Coturnix japonica: one gene and its partners. The protein of the gene in region 1 interacts with the protein of each later gene in a pairwise test. Links are inferred from orthologs where the notes say so. Each region holds a gene or a part of one and is shown in the gene's direction. Other genes may lie near its edges.

What was found.
Region 2: the proteins of ERBB2 (region 1) and FGFR4 interact in a protein complementation assay, tested with the Homo sapiens proteins (2 studies listed by BioGRID, with this or other methods). The link is inferred for Coturnix japonica from reciprocal best matches to the Homo sapiens genes ERBB2 and FGFR4.
Region 3: the proteins of ERBB2 (region 1) and PDGFRA interact in a protein complementation assay, tested with the Homo sapiens proteins (2 studies listed by BioGRID, with this or other methods). The link is inferred for Coturnix japonica from reciprocal best matches to the Homo sapiens genes ERBB2 and PDGFRA.

Annotation. Positions count from the first base shown.
Region 1 is NC_029542.1:3,928,559-3,932,204, forward strand, and holds the end of ERBB2 (receptor tyrosine-protein kinase erbB-2), read left to right. Parts: intron 1-26; coding exon 27-165; intron 166-234; coding exon 235-357; intron 358-431; coding exon 432-530; intron 531-600; coding exon 601-786; intron 787-854; coding exon 855-1,010; intron 1,011-1,084; coding exon 1,085-1,160; intron 1,161-1,233; coding exon 1,234-1,380; intron 1,381-1,454; coding exon 1,455-1,552; intron 1,553-1,625; coding exon 1,626-1,796; intron 1,797-1,920; coding exon 1,921-2,176; intron 2,177-2,248; coding exon 2,249-2,592; 3' UTR 2,593-3,128; downstream 3,129-3,646. UniProt on the Homo sapiens protein: Protein tyrosine kinase that is part of several cell surface receptor complexes, but that apparently needs a coreceptor for ligand binding. Essential component of a neuregulin-receptor complex, although neuregulins do not interact with it alone.
Region 2 is NC_029528.1:12,077,062-12,080,742, reverse strand, and holds the start of FGFR4 (fibroblast growth factor receptor 4), read left to right. Parts: upstream 1-751; 5' UTR 752-766; coding exon 767-1,307; intron 1,308-1,399; coding exon 1,400-1,489; intron 1,490-1,577; coding exon 1,578-1,744; intron 1,745-1,827; coding exon 1,828-1,951; intron 1,952-2,152; coding exon 2,153-2,343; intron 2,344-2,422; coding exon 2,423-2,561; intron 2,562-2,643; coding exon 2,644-2,837; intron 2,838-2,997; coding exon 2,998-3,143; intron 3,144-3,245; coding exon 3,246-3,367; intron 3,368-3,450; coding exon 3,451-3,561; intron 3,562-3,631; coding exon 3,632-3,681. UniProt on the Homo sapiens protein: Tyrosine-protein kinase that acts as a cell-surface receptor for fibroblast growth factors and plays a role in the regulation of cell proliferation, differentiation and migration, and in regulation of lipid metabolism, bile acid biosynthesis, glucose uptake, vitamin D metabolism and phosphate homeostasis.
Region 3 is NC_029519.1:59,024,657-59,028,302, reverse strand, and holds part of PDGFRA (platelet-derived growth factor receptor alpha), read left to right. Parts: coding exon 1-88; intron 89-191; coding exon 192-381; intron 382-894; coding exon 895-1,010; intron 1,011-1,503; coding exon 1,504-1,630; intron 1,631-2,510; coding exon 2,511-2,704; intron 2,705-3,646. UniProt on the Homo sapiens protein: Tyrosine-protein kinase that acts as a cell-surface receptor for PDGFA, PDGFB and PDGFC and plays an essential role in the regulation of embryonic development, cell proliferation, survival and chemotaxis.

The DNA of each region.
Region 1 (3,646 bases):
ATCCCCTGTCACCTCCCGTCCTGCAGCCAGGTGACATCCATCATTGCTGGTGTGGTGGGGGCTCTGCTGGTCGTCGTCCTTCTGCTCATCACCGTCGTCTGCGTCAAGCGCCGGCGGCAGCAGGAGAGGAAACACACCATGAGGCGGCTGCTGCAGGAGACTGAGGTGGGGGGGCTGGATGACCCTGGGGGGGGCTCAGAGTGTTGTCCCTCCTCACCCACTTGTCCCTCGCAGCTGGTGGAGCCGCTGACGCCCAGCGGGGCCCTCCCCAACCAAGCACAGATGCGCATCCTCAAGGAGACGGAGCTGAAGAAAGTGAAGGTTTTGGGCTCCGGCGCTTTCGGCACTGTCTATAAGGTGAGGGGTGGGAGGCACAGTCAGTGGGATGGCACCATCTGTGTCCTCACTCACCGCCCCCCCACCCCCCATAGGGCATCTGGATCCCCGATGGGGAGAGCGTGAAGATCCCGGTGGCCATCAAGGTGTTGCGGGAGAACACATCACCCAAAGCCAACAAGGAGATCCTGGATGTGAGTGCAGGGGAGGTGGGCACGGGGCTGGGGAGTCGGTGCCAACCTGACCTATCTGTGCTGCCTGCAGGAAGCCTATGTGATGGCCGGGGTGGGCAGCCCCTACGTGTCGAGGCTGCTGGGCATCTGCCTGACCTCCACGGTGCAGCTGGTGACGCAGCTGATGCCCTACGGCTGCTTGTTGGACTATGTGAGGGAGAACAAAGACCGCATCGGATCCCAGGACCTGCTCAACTGGTGTGTGCAGATCGCCAAGGTAAGAGAGGGGGCTGCTGAGGGGCTGTGGGGGGGATGTAGATGTGGGGCTTAACGCCTGCTGCCCAGGGGATGAGCTACCTGGAGGAGGTGAGGCTGGTGCACCGTGACCTGGCTGCTCGCAACGTCCTGGTCAAGAGCCCCAACCATGTCAAAATCACCGACTTCGGGCTGGCACGGCTGCTGGATATCGATGAGACCGAGTACCACGCAGATGGGGGCAAGGTGGGACATGGGGACGGGGCAACAGGGAGCGCGGTGTCCCCTGAGGGTCCCGCTCACTCCTCCCACCCACCCAGGTCCCCATCAAGTGGATGGCGTTGGAGTCCATCCTGCGCCGGCGCTTCACCCACCAGAGCGATGTCTGGAGCTACGGTGCGTCCCTATGGTGGCTGTGGGGGGCAGGGGGTCCCAAACCAGCACTTACCCCACATCCCCATGTCCTCAGGTGTCACCGTGTGGGAGCTGATGACCTTCGGGGCGAAACCTTACGATGGGATCCCGGCACGAGAGATCCCCGACCTGCTGGAGAAAGGCGAGCGGCTGCCGCAGCCGCCCATCTGTACCATCGATGTCTATATGATCATGGTGAAATGTGAGTGGGGGGGACATGGGGACGTGGGGGCCAGGACCCCAACGCCGCCCTCACGGTGCTCGGCTCTGCCCCAGGCTGGATGATCGACTCCGAGTGCCGGCCCAAGTTCCGTGAGCTGGTCACCGAGTTCTCCCGCATGGCCCGCGACCCCCAGCGCTTTGTGGTCATCCAGGTAATGGGGTCTCAGGGGGGTCTCGCCTTCAGCATTGCCCCAACGGGCACTGACAGCCCCCCCTGACCCCCAGAACGACATGATCGGGCTGCCCAGCAACATGGACAGCACCTTCTACCGGGCGCTGCTGGAGGAGGAGGACATGGACGACCTGGTGGATGCTGAGGAATACCTGGTCCCTCACCAGGGCTTCTTCAGTGCTGAGACCTCCACCGCGTACCGCAGCCGTATCTCCTCCACGCGGGTAAGGGCTGACCTGGGGCATCGTGCTGCTGCAGGGCGCACAGGGTGCAAGTTCTCTAATGCCACCCACAGACCCTATAGACCCCACAGCACCGTGCCCGACTCCGTGCCCTTTGCCTCCTCAGAGCACAGCAGAGACCCCAGCTGACACGACAGAGGGGGAGGAATCAGCCGCCTTCCCCTTCCCACCGCAGAACCTGGTGGAGGGGTCAGAGTGCCCCGTGTCGGAGGCTCTGGAGGTGGATGTTGGGGCCAAGGGAGCCCTGCCGAGCCCCCCAGCCACACGGTACAGTGAGGACCCCACCGCGCTGCCGGGGGATGAGAGTGAAGGTCTGGACCCTGAGGGCTTCACCACCCCAGCCCCACATACCACTATGCCAGGTAGGGCAATATAGGACCCTGGGGAGGGGGGCAAGGACCCTGTTTGGCTGCTGACATCCCTTTTCCCTGCAGAGTACGTGAATCAGGCTGGGGAGCTGCCGTCACCCCCCCGGCTCCCCTGTGCACCACCATCCCCACCAGACAAGCCCAAGGGCCACCAAGGCAAGAACGGGCTCATCAAGGACACCAAGCATCCCTTCCTGGGGCCCTTTGGCCACGCCGTGGAGAACCCCGAGTACCTGGCCCCCCCGGGGCTGCCGGTCCCCACAGCCTTCAGCCAGGCCTTCGACAACCCCTACTACTGGAACCAGGACCCCCCCAAAGCTGGGAGCCCTGAGGGTGGGCCCAGCTCCACGCCAGCAGCTGAGAACCCGGAGTACCTGGGTTTGGCTGAGCCTGAGGACGTGGCTGTGTAGGGCAGGGCCACATACGGACCCCCCCCTTTCACCGAGGCAGCTTGGGGAGGGACGGCACGAGGCCGGCGATGGATGTGGGGGCAGGACTGTCCCCAATCATGGGGGTGCCCTATACTGCAGGAGAGCATAGAGCACTGTGAGACGGCGCAGCAGCACAGGGGGGGGCACAGAGGACCCCCAAAAGGAGCCCCAAAGCCCCACTGAGATGGATGCTCCAACCCCACACGGTTCCTGGAGGAAGAAGAGCAGCATCAACAGGACCGGGAGCCCCATCACCCTGCTCCCCATCACCATACACCTATATACACCTGTATACACCCTGGATACACCTGGACCACGCTGCTGCTGTCCCAGAGCCCCCCACCACCCCTGTGCCCCCAGCCCCCTCCCCACCGGCGCCCAGCAGCGCTGGACACATTGACTTGCACTGAGCAGGTGGACACGGGGCTGCCTGGGCTCCTGCTGGGTTCCCGTTAAGCTGACAGTGTCACCTGGATGTATATTTCATCATTGTAGATGGTTTTTTTTCTACTCCACTTTGTCTGCGTGGTTTGCTCCCATCTCCTCCATCTGCTGCTCTCACTGCAGGGAAAGCCCTGATAGCCAAGAATGGGGCAGCTGCCCTAATCCTGCTTTCATTGCCTGGATCCCCCCCATGCTCTGCAGGGACACAGGGGAAGAGGAGCCACGTTTACCTCCATCCTTTATTCAGCGCTGGGCCCACAGACAGTACATCATAAATAGGGGATGGGCACCAATAGGGGATGGGCACCATTCTGCCACGCTGCCCTGGGCTCAGCTGCCCCAAGGGCAGAGTCATGATGTGGGGAGGGGGAGAGCCGGGAGCCTGGGAACGGGGCAGCAGGGGAAGCTCGTGGCTGTTCAATGAACCCTGGGGCTGTGGGGATGGAGCCAAGCAGGGGTTCCTATAACCAGCCAGTCCCTGCTGCCCTCGTAGCTGTTTAAACAGTGACCAGAGGAGCTGGAATCATTAACAAACCACACTCGAGTTCACGTTCCTCTGCATAAACCTTTGGGAGCCCTGAAGCAGCCG
Region 2 (3,681 bases), on another chromosome or scaffold:
ACCCGAGCGCCGCCCTACAAAGTGCCCGCGCCCTCGGCACAGCGCGGCGGGGCGAGAGTCGGGGCCGCCATGGGGCCGCGGCGCTGAGCGGAGCCCGCCCGGCCCCGCAGGACTTTGCCCGGGCCCTCCCCGACGAGGCCGGTGCGGGGCCGGAGCAGCCGGAGCAGCCGCGCCGTCGGGGCTCCGCGCAGCCGGCGCTGCCCGACGGTCGCGGGGCGCCGCAGCTCCTGGCCGCGGTGCCGCTTCCCACGGGAGGCCCGGAAGATGCTGCCGCTCTGGCTCGTCCTGGCGGGGCTGCTGCTGGCGGTCGGCCCGGCCGCTTCGCACCGCGGGGAGATGGAGCCAGGTACGGACGGGACGGCTGGGGGGGTGAAGGCGGCTCCGGTGCTGGTTTTTCCCGGCCCCGCTTCTCGTGCTTTCGAGCATCGGCAGCCCGGCTGCGGGCTGGGCTGGGTGCTGCGGGCGGTGCCGGTGCGGTGCGGTGGGGCGCACGCGGTGCTGACAGCTGCGGGGCTCGGGGCGCGGCGGCGGCGCGTGGAACACGCGGACAGGGCGGGGGCTGCGGGTCCCGGAGCGGCCGAACCGTCGCTGCTTTGGTTTGTCCCAGCGGTGGTTTTGCTCCGAGCGGCTCTTGAGTTTAGTACAGAGCTGAATATTTGCTTTGGAGCCGCTTTACCAGCGTGGGCCGGGTCCGCGGGGAGCCGGAGGTGGTGGTGGAACTTTGACGCTGATCGCTCCCGGTTCCTTCCCGTCCCAGTACGGCAGAATGGGCGCAGACCCCTCTGGAAGGACCGTGGCGTGGGTGGCCTTGGCCGGGAACGCGGCAGTGCCAGGCGGTCGCGGGGGAAGCCTTGTCCCAGCGCCCGGGGGCAGAGTCCAGCCCTTGTACACGCGTCTCTGGCCAGGACGTGTGTGTGTGTGTGTGTGTGTGTGTGTGTGTGTGTGTGTGTGTGCGCTGTGCACGCCGAGAAGCGCGGTGGGTTCCTGCTGTCCGGGGCGCTGTGCGCGGCGCTCAGCGCGTCTCTCCCGGGCTGCAGAGCTGATTGAGAGCCCGCTGCTGGAGTCGGAGGAGCAGCAGCTCCTGTTGGAGCCGGGCAATGCTCTGAAGCTGCACTGCAACGCTAACCGCAGCGGTGCCACTGTGGTCTGGTACAAGGAGTCGCGGCCGCTGCTCCCGGGGCCCCGCGTCCGCCTCCAGCCGGGCACAGTGCAGATCTCTGAGGTCGCCTACGAGGACTCGGGGCTGTGTGTGTGTCGGGCGCGGGGCACCGGGGAAGTCCTGCACAACTTCACCATCTCTGTAGTGGGTGAGGGCCCGGAGCAGCACTGAGGGGAGCACAGCCTGATTTACCCCATCCTGAAGACAGGGGCACCCCTCGTGACCCGCTTTCCTTTGCAGACTCGCTGGCATCGGGTGATGACGATGAAGACAGTGATGGGGATGGTCCCCACGGAGACCGCAGCGAGGAGCCGGTCTATGTGCACAGAGGTGAGTGCTGTCATGGGGGGAGCGACTGGGGGCAGCCCCCACCCGAGGCCATAAGCCACATCCCACGATGCCCCCCGTCTCTCCCCAGCACCGTACTGGACTCACCCTCACCGCATGGACAAGAAGCTGTATGCTGTCCCTGCGGGGAACACCGTCAAGTTCCGCTGCCCGGCCTCGGGCAGCCCCAGCCCCAGCATCCGCTGGTTCAAGAATGGACGTGAGTTCCGGGGGGAGCACCGCATCGGGGGCATACGGGTAAGGGCCCCCCCCCATGTCATCCTCTCCTCCTGGTGTCTGGCTCAGCTGCAGCCCCCTGAACCTGTTGCTCCCCGTCGCAGCTCCGGCACCAGCACTGGAGCCTGGTGATGGAGAGCGTGGTGCCCTCGGACCGTGGCAACTACACCTGTCTGGTGGAGAACAGGTTCGGCAGCATCCGCTACAGCTACCTGCTGGATGTGCTGGGTGAGGGTCCGCAGGTGGTGCCAGGGGGGTCCCTGCTGCCACTGTGCTGGCGAGAGGGGATGGGCTGCAGGGGATGAAGGCAGAGGAGCCCATCCTCATCTGCTCTGCTTGAGCAGCCCTCGTGTCCCAGCACCTGAGGGAGGTAGGGCTGGGACCCCCCTGGGTACTGTGTGTGACTTTGCCCCTATGCCCTGTGTGCAGAGAGGTCCCCGCACCGGCCCATCCTGCAGGCGGGGCTGCCTGCCAACACCACTGCCCTGGTGGGCAGCGACGTGGAGTTCTTCTGCAAGGTGTACAGCGATGCCCAGCCCCATATCCAGTGGCTGAAGCACATTGAGGTGAACGGCAGCAGCTATGGCCCTGACGGGGTGCCCTACGTGCAAGTGCTCAAGGTAGCAGCTGGGGGGTGGCAGGGTCACATGGAGCTTGTCCCCACACAGGGATGCTCACGGTCCCTCGTTCTGCCCACAGACCGCAGATATCAACAGCTCCGAGGTGGAGGTGCTGTACCTGCGCAATGTCACCATGGAGGACGCAGGCGAGTACACCTGCCTGGCAGGGAACTCCATCGGCCTCTCCTACCAGTCAGCGTGGCTCACTGTGCTCCCAGGTAGGGCTGAGGTTAGAGCTGGGGTTAGGGCTGAAAGCAGCATGGGGACCGTGGTGTGGACTGACGTGTGCTCTCCTTCTAGAAGAAGAGCTGGTGCATGAAGCTGAGACCTCCGAGGCCAAGTACACCGACATCATCATCTACACGTCGGGCTCGCTGGCTGTGGCCATGGCCCTCATCATCGTGGTGCTGTGCCGCATGCAGACACAGTCGAGCAAGCAGCCCCTGGAGCCCATGGCAGTGCACAAGCTCTCCAAATTCCCACTCATCCGACAGGTGAGGGCTGAGCTGGGGGCACCTTGGTGACAACTGGCCCTGCTGCTGCCACCTGTCCCTGTTGCTTGTCCTTGGGGCTGCCCTCACCCCATTGCTCTCAGCAGCACCAGGTCTCAGTGTGACTCCCAGGTGTCTGAGGGCTGCTGTGCTGTCCCCGCAGTTCTCCCTGGACTCCAGCTCATCAGGGAAGTCCAGCACGTCGCTGATGCGTGTCACCCGCCTCTCCTCCAGCTGTGCCCCCATGCTGGCGGGCGTCGTGGAGATGGACCTGCCCCTGGATTCCAAGTGGGAATTCCCTCGAGAAAAGTAAGGAGCTGGAGAGGGCTGGCAGTGCCGGGGCACTGTGCCCCATGGGCTTGGAGCAGGGTCAGCCCCACTGTGTGCTCACAGCTCTGCCTCCCCTGGCAGGTTGGTGCTGGGGAAGCCCCTGGGCGAGGGCTGCTTTGGGCAGGTGGTGCGGGCGGAGGCGTACGGCATCGACAGGCAGTGGCCGGACCGAGCTGTCACCGTGGCTGTCAAAATGCTCAAAGGTATCAGTCGTGCTGTGGCGTCCTGGGCATGGCTGCTGCATTGGTGCCACCCCAGCATCAGTGACACGGCCCTCTGTCAACAGACAACGCCACTGACAAAGACCTGGCTGACCTCATCTCCGAGATGGAGATGATGAAGCTGATGGACAAGCACAAGAACATCATCAATTTGCTAGGAGTGTGCACGCAGGACGGTGAGGGGCTCAGGGGCAGGGGGGTGCTGGGGTGGATGGGGCAGGGCTGAGTGCTGTGTGTCTTCCCTAGGGCCCCTCTATGTGATAGTGGAGTTTGCTGCCAAGGGCAACCTGCGTGAG
Region 3 (3,646 bases), on another chromosome or scaffold:
GTGAAGGACACAGGGGATTATGAATGTACTGCTCGACATGCAACCAAGGAGGTTAAGGAAAATAAGAAAGTAGTCATTACAGTTCATGGTATAGTCTCATTTCAGTGTCCAAAAATTATTAATGTGTTGGAAAACACTCTTCTTGAAAAATGCTGCACAGCATTGTTCATGCGTGGCTTTTTCATTTACAGACAAAGGGTTCATTCATCTAGAGCCTCAGTTTAGCCCTTTGGAAGCTGTCAATCTACATGAAGTCAAAAATTTTGTCGTCGATGTGCAGGCGTACCCCGCTCCAAAAATGTACTGGTTGAAGGATAATGTGACTCTGATTGAAAACCTTACTGAGATTGTTACTAGTTCAAACAGAGTCCAGGAAACACGGTAAAAATACTCTTATGAATCTTACTTTGCCACGATGACTCAAGTGTTTCTCCCCTAGAAACCTGAGAACTTCTGCTTTCTCTTTCCACTGCAGTTCTTCCTCAATAACATTTAAAAATCCTATGTTTTCTGCTCTAAAGGGTGATGCCTTAATAACATTAACATCTCTAAACCATACAAATCTTGGATTCTAGGTACTAACCCTCTTCAGTCCCTCCAAGAAATCTTCTCTCTAATTATCTTTAGCTATTTCTAGAAACATCGCAGTCTTCGTTGGAGCCAAGCAGGATATAATAATGCCCACTTCTTTCTTGGTTGTGTTTTGGTGACTATTTACTGTTTGAACAATGATTTTAGTGCGAAGGCATGCCAGAAATGCTGAGTGTCAGCACATTATAATATCCGTGTGTCCAGATTATATGTTGCATTGAAGTAGATTTTTTATGCCTGCTTTCAACATACAAACAAAATGTAAAAATACAAAAATATAAACCAAAACTCTCATTTCTGCAGGTTTCAAAGTGTACTAAAATTGATCCGGGCCAAGGAAGAAGACAGTGGGTACTATACTTTGGTTGCTGAAAATGAAGATGAGGTTAAGAGATACACCTTCTCCTTGCTAATACAAGGTAATGGCTTCAAAAGCCTTCCTTACCAGAACTGATGGGCCACAGCATGAATTTGATCCACTTATGTATGGGTCAACAATGAATACTGGATTGCCTGGGCTATAGAGATAAGAGAAGTGTGAACTGGGGTGTCTGGAGCAGTGCATGTCTGCTGAGTCCTCGTAGCTCTCATACTGTAATCCTGGCTTTGACTTCTGCACTGGCCTTGTGCCAGAAAGAAACTTTATCCTCCTGTCTAAGTTATTCCAGCTGACAGCGGGAACGATAACTCATTTAGCATGACATGAGGACGTGGCATACACGCAGCACTTTCTTTTCATCGCTCTAGCTTGTGATACCCTGTGTTCTTCAGCAGACAGGGACCTCCTGGCCAAGTGGCTCTAGATGCCACTAAGCTGTCAGACAAACAGTACCTGCCCTGCTTTGTTTGAGATTTCAGGCTGCTCTTTTAGACCCTGTTGAACGTTTTAACAAATTCTTGACTCCTTTCCAGTTCCAGCCTTGATCTTAGACCTTGTGGATGACCACCAGGGCTCCACTGGCAGGCAGACAGTGAGGTGCTTGGCTGAAGGGACCCCGCTTCCTGATGTGGAATGGTTGGTTTGCAAGGACATTAAAAAGTAAGAAGAAGAGGAACTTTGTTATCTAAAACATGACTCCGTTGTTCTTGGCTAGCTTAACATTATTAGTTATCATACCGTGTTTTCTTCATCAAGAGCCAGTAAGCCATAATTCTGATGTCTTTTTGGAGACACACTGCTTATATTTTGAGAGGTTTTCAGTACCCTTCCTAGTGTTAATGTCCTATAGAAGAATACACAATGCATCCATTTAACTTTGATAAAAGTTCTGTGTTCAATAATTGAATGTAGTAGATCTTAAAGTTAACTGTCTTTCCATTCTGAGGACTCCTGCTACTTCACAGGTAGCCCTGTTGCCTCATTAATACTCTTGTGTGCTTCTAAATTTTCACTTGGACAGTTTCTCCCCAGATTATAATTTTCACCTTCTAAGACTTCTAGACACATGTAGTAATCATTCCTGGTTTTGCTAGTTCTAGACTGTTTTCTTCTGTAGCTGCTGGGAACTGCTGAGCTCTCCCTGGGAATCTGTAAGGATTCAAGGAAAAGGAGACTAAAGGAATCTGTAAGGATCCAAGGAAAAGGAGACTAAACATGAAGGGAGGCTAGGAGCCCTGGGACCTCCCAGCTGTGCTCCACTCCCACTGCACTAAAATCTCCTCCTGCCACCTGGGACAGTTGTCCTCTTAGCCCTGCCCCAGGAAGCCTTGTATGGCATGAAGGATTCAGGCAGAAGTAGAGATCCACTGCTATAACTCTACAGGATATGAATGATGCAGGCTTTTCACAGAGGTGGTCTTAAGCATTTCTTTAAAAATATAATTGACAGAAGAAAGGCATAGGAAAAGATGATTCCCACTGTGGTGACTTTTTATCTACACCTACATCCAACATGTATTTCCACTGTCACTCTCTGCAGATGCAGCAATGACACTTCCTGGACTCTTCTGACTAGCAACGTCTCTGATATACACATGGAAGCCCACTTGGATGAGAAGAATATGGTGGAAAGCCAGGTGACCTTCCAGAAGGTAGAGGAAACCCTGGCTGTCAGATGTGTAGCAAGAAACGACCTTGGCGCTGTTACTCGGGAACTGAAACTTGTGGCTCCCAGTGAGTTTGCTTTGTCCTTCTATGAGATTACAGAAGCCATCTTAACCTCTCGTTAACATACCTCATTTTAGTCTATAAGAAAGCTTAGTAGATAAAAACATAATCTGCAGCAAATAAGAATAAATGAAAATGGATTTTATCCACCAAGGAACAACTGAGAATGAAGCATTTTACAGGTCTTTATGGGGTATCTGATTTGTTTTATCATTTCATTATGATTGGTCATGGGATGTTCTTCTAAACAAAGTAGACAGTGTAGCTCTGGTCTCAGAGAGGCTTTACAGTTACCAACTGTCACGAGTTACTTAGATTTACCTATGCCCGTGACAGGGGAAGCCACCCTGTGCCCCCCCCCCCTCCCCCCCCGGCGCCCAGAAAGGAGGGGGAAAAGGGGAATGGGATAAAAAACAGTTGGCAATCTAAGGAGGAAAAACTATTTTACTAAGTATGATATCGAAATACAACATAACACATATAATATAATTGCAGGCTAACGAATCGAACGAAACAGAGAGAGAGAGAGTCCCGAAAAACTGAGAGGCCTACTAATGAACTCTAGGCGTACACGCTCTGGAACGCTTCCCACTTCTCCGAGAAGTTCGAGAGAAGAAGGGCACTCCAGCCTCGGGAACAAGATTATATAGCGTCCTGGTTCCGTGACTTATCATTACCCCTGTTGTTCTCTGGGATTATGTTAGGACTTCTTCTGTGCCGGACTGCACATTCAATAGAGTATGCCATGCTTACATGATGTTATGATGTGGAATACTGATAGCAAATACAAAACCATGGGACATTCCACCCCTTTCTAACATTAGTACGATCATGGGTAGATATATATACAATATATGCCACGTATGTAAAACTATGATAGCCTAAATAGTAGAAATTGCATGTACATAACAAATGTACAACTATAATAACTAAATACACGTAACACTG